2 linked regions of the Ovis aries genome follow. The protein of the gene in region 1 interacts with the protein of each later gene in a biochemical or structural test. Links are inferred from orthologs where the notes say so. Each region holds a gene or a part of one and is shown in the gene's direction. Other genes may lie near its edges.

The links.
Region 2: the proteins of TRIM24 (region 1) and RXRA form a complex in vitro, tested with the Homo sapiens proteins (3 studies listed by BioGRID). The link is inferred for Ovis aries from reciprocal best matches to the Homo sapiens genes TRIM24 and RXRA.

What each region holds. Positions count from the first base shown.
Region 1 is NC_056057.1:103,687,273-103,691,086, forward strand, and holds part of TRIM24 (transcription intermediary factor 1-alpha), read left to right. Parts: intron 1-1,417; coding exon 1,418-1,535; intron 1,536-3,814. UniProt on the Homo sapiens protein: Transcriptional coactivator that interacts with numerous nuclear receptors and coactivators and modulates the transcription of target genes.
Region 2 is NC_056056.1:1,860,785-1,864,598, reverse strand, and holds part of RXRA (retinoic acid receptor RXR-alpha), read left to right. Parts: intron 1-349; coding exon 350-519; intron 520-3,814. UniProt on the Homo sapiens protein: Receptor for retinoic acid that acts as a transcription factor.

The sequences.
Region 1 (3,814 bases):
CAAGGAGCAAGCGTCTTTTAATTTCGTGGCTGCAGTCACTGTCCACAGTGATTTTGGAGACAAGAAAATAAAGTCTGCCACCATTTCCACTTTTTCGTCTTCTATTTGCCATGAAGTAATGGGACCAAATGCCATGATCATAGTTTTTTGAATGTTAAGTTTTAAGCCAGCTTTTTCACTCTTTCACCTTCATCAAGAGACTCTTTAGTTCCTCTTCACATTCTGCCATTAGAGTGGTATTATCTGCTTATCTGAGGTTGTTGATATTTTTCCTAGCAGTCTTGATTCAAACTTGTGATTCCTCCAGTCCAGCATTTCTCATGATGTACTCTGCATAGAAGTTAAATAAGCAGGGTGACAATATACAGCCTTGATATACTCCTTTCCCAATTTTGAACCAGTCAGTTGTTCCATGACTGGTTGGAACTATTGTTTCTTATCCTGCATACAGGTTTCTCAGGAGAAACGTAAGGTGGTCTGGTATTCCCATCGCCTTAAGAATTTTCCACAGTTCAAAGACTTTAGCAGAGTCAGTGAAGCAGCAGTAGATGTTATTTTTGAAATTCCCTTGCTTTTTTTATGATCCAGCAGATGTTGGCAATTTGACCTCTGTTTCCTCTGCCTTTTCTAAATCCAGCTTGTACATCTGGAAGTTCTCGGTTCATGTACTGTTGAAGTCTAGCTTGAAGGATTTTGAGCATTACCTTGCTAGCATGTGAAATGAGCACAGTTGTCTGGTAGTTTGAACATTCTTTGGCATTGCCTTTCTTTACAATTGGAAGGAAAACTGAGCTTTTCCAGTTCTGTGGCCCATCTAGGATTATGGCAGGAATAATATTGGAGATGGTGATTATGAGCCAAGAGCTGAACTCTTCAAAGACTGAGAGAATGACTGAGCATTCACTGAGGACTGCAGTGTGGAGGAGGGTGGGAGGTGGTGTGATGACTGAGATTCACAGCACAGGAGCAAGAAGGGCCATCCTACTAGCAGGCCTGGTCAAGGCTGCACTTAATGTCCTGAGCAGAGATTCATTTGTATTTTTTGTAATCCATTAGCCCCCTAATCTCTACTTTGAATCCTTCTTTGAAAGAGTAAAATAAAAGCAGTGTGTGAGTTTACTTTATAAATATGTGGTTGGTACATCTGTGAAACTTCTGTAATTCAGTGAACTAACTTTAACCTGTCACTTTAGGAAAGGTTTGTTTTGTGTTCAACAGTAAAACTAATTGTACTTAAACCTCTAACGCATTTTTGAAGAAAAACTGTGTTTGTCCACTTTTTATAACTTACTTATGAACACTTGTTTTGTGTTGGCATATATGTCATAGAGAGCATTTTTTATGTATTTGTTGGGAACTTGATAAATTATTTGCCTAATAAAGACTTGGATGCTCAGTTGTCTCTGCTTTCTTCTAGATTACGTACCGGTTACGGCACCTCCTTCGAGCAAGGTGTGATGCTTCCCCAGTGACCAACAATACCATCCAGTTTCACTGTGATCCTAGCTTCTGGGCTCAAAATATAATCAATTTAGGTAGGCTGTTATGTAGATTTTCTCAAAGTGCCATTTGTTTCTGGAACTCTTAATGATTATGAGATTGTTGAAAATGTATTCCCTTCTACCCCCTAAATATTTTTATTATCTTGTTTTAAAGAGATGGATTTTTCCTGGTATTTCATTAGTGTGTGTATATTTGTGACACATGCATGAATATAAACACACATATAAATATGTGGGTGATATGAAACATCCTTTTATTGACTCAGTGTCTAGATTTCTGGATTTAGGAGTTGTTTTTCTTCCTCAAGCAAGTTGTGCTGTTAGTGACATATTTATCAGAATAGTTGTTAAAACTCTTTACATGTGTCTGCCATTAATATAGTACTTTTTAGAATGTTTTCTGTTAAAACAGTATTTCTCATACAATTCTTGGCTTACTCACTCTTGAGACCCAGTTGTCAGGTACTAATGGCTCATTTATTTGCTTTTTCTTGGTAGGGAGGAATTCTCTCTGTGTGTTTTGTTTTTGTTTTTCCTTTTATGTAATAATTAAATAATTTTTAACCTCCTAATTGAAGTGTATCATGCATATAGATAACTGCCCAAATTTGAAGTACTAGAGTTATCAAAAAGGGGGAATTTCAGTATCATTTGGTAACATCACATATCCCTGCAGGCAGTCCTTGTTACATTATGTACTAGTAAAAAAAATCTTCAATTTTTGCCTCCTTTCTTAATTTCTCACAGGGAAATTATAGAAACAAAAATAAGAATTTCATATACATTCTTCATTAACCACCTTTTGGCAGTTTTGGGGCTTATTGACTTTGTTTCAAAATCATCAAATAGGGTTGCTCTCTCATTCTCTAAGCTAGATTCTGGGTAAGAAAGAACTGGCTGGAAGGAGAGCCAGTGCTCTCAGAACACTCCAAGAAGGGAAGAAATAGGCTTACATAAATCTCATCCATATGTGAGAACAGTAAGAATGGTAATGTGACCCTTTGAAGAAATGATAAGGTGACTCCTCAGCACAGTTTAGAAGTACGTATTTATTGATTGATAAACATAGCCAGCAGCTGGTATCATACATATTCTCATCTATATAACTAAAAAGAAGCATCTTAATACAAAGCATGTATATAACTATCTCTTACCCTACTCTACCCTCCACCACATATATAGCTATACAGAGAATCTATCACAGCTTTATATCCACAGTAACAGTCATGTTGACTTATATGTACTTATAAGCATATCACTTAAAACATAGTCCACATGATGTAGACATAGGTAAAATTAAGAAAATATGTAACTGTACGCACATAAGTGAATATAGTTTAGGTAAATCTGAATCAGCAAAAACAAAAACACCTCCTGTTTGTGAGGAATTTGTAAGACAGTATCCTTTACTGTAGGACTTTTCAGAGGTGTCATATATAGCTCTATAAATTGTCGTTTAAAGTGAGATTGACGTTTTAAATCTTCTAAGAAGGATACAACTTTCCCAAACTTGTTTATTTATGGCTTCTGAGAAACATGTTACAGAAGAGTGCAAGGGAAAAGTAGTGTCTTGGACGCATATTCAGTTTAGTGTCTTTGTGACTTTGGATAAGTTGTTTGGCCTCTCTGAACCTTAGATCCCTTATCTGTACGAAGGATTTTAACAATATACATAGATCTCCTATCATGGTACCTAATGTGGAGTAAGTATTTAATGAATGATAACCATATCTTTAAGGATGCATATGCTTAGTAAATCAGGAACTTTTAACTGAGTCTCTGCTATTGAAGAAATCAAGCTTTGCCCTACTCTTGGACCAGACCTGTGAGAGGTACCTTTAATCTCTTTTTTAACAGTGTAGTTATAAAGCATGGTGTTCGCCATCAGAGAACTAACACAATTTGCGCCATGAAGGTGTAAAGAACTAGCTGTTGTTGTCATTCAATTGCTACATCATAGAGAGATAACTGAGTCAGTAATACTCTGTGGTATTGTTCTCACATCCAGTGAGAACAGTCAGGTTTGCGTGTTTTGTTTTGATTATACAATAGCAGTTCTCACAGTGTAGTCTGAAGCTTCTTCAGGTGATAAAAGGTCTCCCTTTTCCAAGTACATACCCATATGTGGCTGGGTTTTCTGCATGTATTTCTATTTAAACAATATATTAGATAATGCAGAAACAGTTACCGCTATTAAGCCAGACATTTTAAAGAACTGTTTGAAAATGTAAAATAGTGCCATTCTTCACTAAACTTTTTTGAAAATAAAAATAAGGTTTTGTGTGTGTGTGTGTGTGTTTTTTCCATAAAAA
Region 2 (3,814 bases), on another chromosome or scaffold:
TCCATAACCCATGAAAGCCCATGAAAGGGCTTCTCACTCCACCTTGGGATCCCTGCTGAGCTGTTCACTTCTTGAGAGTGGGGCGCTGTCCTCCCTGGCCCTGGGTGGTCCTGGTGTGAACCGGGGTTGAATGAATTAGTGAGAGGCGGCACGCTCTGTTCTCAGAACACACAGCCCCCCGGGAGCGGGAGGCCGGGCTTGGGGCAGAGACGGGGCCGCGCTCTGGCCGGCCCCGAGCACCCTCGCTCTCCCTGGCCCTGGCTGGCGGGCGGGCATGCTGCTTGGGCCCCGGGGGCGGAGGCTGCCGCGGGAGCTGCGGGCTGACCGTGACCCCTTCACCCCGCCTCAGCCGTGCAGGAGGAGCGGCAGCGAGGCAAGGACCGGGGCGAGAGCGAGGTGGAGTCGACCAGCAGCGCCAACGAGGACATGCCGGTGGAGAAGATCCTGGAGGCCGAGCTGGCGGTCGAGCCCAAGACCGAGGCCTACGTGGAGGCGAACGTGGGGCTGAGCCCCAGCTCGGTGAGCACCCCCGCCCACGTCCGTCTGCTCTGCTCTGGGGATGGAGGCCCTGGGAGCGCGCCTGGGAGGGGGTCCCCGTCATCACACCCCCGCCTGGAGGGGGACCCCCTCATCACCCCCCACCTGGGAGCGTGCCTAGGAAGGGGACCCCCTCATCACCCCCCACCTGGAGGGGGACCCCCATCACCCCCTGCCTGGAGGGGGACCCCCATCACCCCCCCTACCTGGGAGCATTGCCTGGGAGGGGCTCCCCGTCATCACACCTCCACCTGGAGGGGGACCCCCCTCATCACCCCCCACCTGGGAGTGTGCCTAGGAAGGGGACCCCCCATCACCCCCCACCTGGAGGTGGACCCCCATCACCCCCCCTGCCTGGGAGCATTGCCTGGGAGGGGCTCCCCATCATCACACCCCCGCCTGGAGGGGGACCCCCTCATCACCCCCCCCACCTGGGAGCGTGCCTAGGAAGGGGACCCCCTCATCACCCCCCGCCTGGAGGGGGACCCTATCACCACCCCCCCATGCCCCTGCACCTCCATGAAGCTCTGCTGCCAGTCAGGTGGGCGAGTTTTCGGTTGTTGGGTTCACAGCCCAGGACTTTGACTCCCTTCCAGCTTCCTGTTACCTCTGGCCCATCGTGCAGCCAGGCCTGTGGGCAATACTGAGTCTCAGCGTCGTCTGTGTCTCCGTGTGGGTTCAGGGCGGCCCTGGGGTCCCCCTGGCCTCTCCCCTCCGTTCTGTCCCTGCCTCACGTGGCCTGGACGCCCTGCCCACCCCTGCCCCAGGGCCCTTGCTCGTGTGGTTTCCACTGTTCCTCCTTCGGCTTCAGCCTTGGAAAGCGTCCCTTCCTCGGGGAGCCCTTTCCCTCTCGACCACCTTGTGCCCCCATCATGGGGGCTCGGCGCCCTGACCCTTGGGGGTCACGGCGTGGCGAGTGTGGTGGTTCGCTGTCCATCCTCGCCGTTGGACTGTCCCCCTGTGACCGGCTGCGGTCAGGAACAGGGCCCTGCCTTGCCCGTAGCTGCTTGACCCCGACCTCCCCAGTCTCAGAGCACGGGGGTCCTGTCTTGCCTGCAGTCTCAGGACACCCCGCTTCCTTGTCCCCCGTGACGGGGCGCCCCAGGCTGCAGCCTCTCTCAGACCCCCACGCTGGCTGCCCTGCCGTGTTGCCTCATGTGTGCAGTGACCCCCGCCCTGGTTTGACCCTTGACAGTCCCTCTGGTCTGTGGCCCGACCCCACCTGACGGCCTCTCCAGTCCCAATGGGGAGCCAGGTTGCGGCGCAGGCCTCACGGTTGAGCAGAAGCCCTGAAGGAAACGTCAGGGGTCGACGGCGGTCTGCCGGGTTTTACTCTTGCCCAGTGAGGACACTGTCTGGGAGGAAACAAGTCTGCCTTCTGCGCACTCCAGGAATGCAGAACAGGCGGGCAATTTCGGGGACAGGCCGGTGGGCTGGCCGGCAGGGGCTCTGCCCTCCTGTGGCCACTCCTGGCGGATTGGCCTGGGTCCCCCTCTGGGGCTGGCTTGTTGGGCTCCTTCCCCCAGACCAGGGACACCTGTCTGCTCTGGTGGAGCCTCAGGTCCCTGCCTGGAGGCTCCGCCCTCTCTGGCAAGGGGCCAGAGCTCGTGAAACTGCTGCTGAATGAGGCCTGTTTTGTCTTTTTGTGGGAATAAGGCTCAGAGAATTTAAGTACCTGCCAGAGGTAGGATGGAGCCGGCTGGAGTTCAAGCTCCTCCCCCCGGGGAACCCCTTCCTCCAGGCCTAGCCCTGCATCTCCGGTGCAGGTAACCTTTGCCCCCAGCTTATTAGGTATGACCCGGCACCTGCCTCCGAGGCCCTGGCCTACTCCACCGGGCCTGCCCTGGGCCCCTTGGGGGCTCGGGGGGGCTCCCGCTAGTGACCAGAGAAAGCCCGGCCTCCGGGGCTTCAGCCCGGGACTGGTCGGTCCTCCCCATGCCTTCTGCCCGGCTCAGTGCAGCTGCCCGGACCCCCGCCATTAAGCCTGGCCTCCCACCCGTGGGCTGGAAGGGCATGGAGCAGGGTCCCTGAGGACTGGAGCCTGGCCCCAGGCTCTGGCTTGCTTGCTGCTGGGTGTATCGCTCGGGTGAGCCGGTCTCTGGTACAGACTAGCTCTGCTCGTGGCTGCGGTCATCCGGTGGACGGGATGGATGTGCGATGCCTGGAGGGTGTGCTGGGCTTGGGCACGTGGCCTCTGGGCGCCCCGAGTGCTGGGCTTCTGGTCAGTGCTCCTGGGTGGAGGCGGGAATGCTGTGTGGGCTGGCCCCCTGGGGCTTCGGTGTGCCGGTGACTTTGGGGGCGTCTGGGCGCTGGCGCCTTCCACCCCTTTCCCCTGACTGGCCATGTGCCCTGGAAGCCACTTCTCCCGCGGCCCCAGGTCCTCCTTCTGCACGCCGGTCCCATCTGCCCTGCCGACCTCGGTGCCCCACTGTCATAGGCCTCCCGAGAGAGCCCTCAGCAGGCCCTTCACGGCCGGATTGTTTAGACTGTGCTGCGCGGGAGGGCACATGGTTTCTATCAGGGAAGCCCCTCCAGCCTCCCCACCCCGTTGGGGGATGCCTGGCTCACGTGGTTCCTGGAATGAGGCGCTTCCGCTTCCGCTGCCTGGGCCCCACCCCCCAGGGCCTCGAGGCTTCTTCATCGGAGCCCCGTGGGCTGGAGCCTGGAGCCACTGAGGCTGCCCGGGTTCCCCCATTTGTGAGGATGGGCGTTCCTTTCTGGCTAGGGGCTTCCCAGGTGGCTCAGTGGTAATGAATCTGCCTGCACTGCAGAAGACTCGGGCTCGATCCCTGGGTCAGAAAGATGCCCTGGAGGAGGAAATGGCAACCCACTCCAGTGTTCTTGCCTGGAGAATCCCACAGACAGAAGAGACTGGTGGGCTACAGCCCATGGGGTCTCAAGGGTCAGACAGGACTAAATGACCGGGCACGCACGCACACTCCTTCTGACCAGAACTTTCTGGAAGGGCTTCAGATGCACCCTTGTGTGTGTGCCACGTCCAAATCTGGGCAGCAGCAGCACCACCAGAGGGGCTGGCACCGCCCACCCCCTCCCCACGCCTGGTCTACGAGGTCGCCTGGCGTCGGCCCAAGGGCTGCGGTGGGTCATGACACGGTGACCTTTCTGTGGCTGCTGGACAAGTGGCAGCAAGCCGAGTGCCTGAAAGAACACAGATGTCACTGCCTCACACGTCTCGAGGCCCGAAGCCTGAGATCTGTGTCCCTGGGCCAAGTCAGGGCTGGTCCTCCGGGTGCTGGGGGTGGCGGCCGCGCCCCGG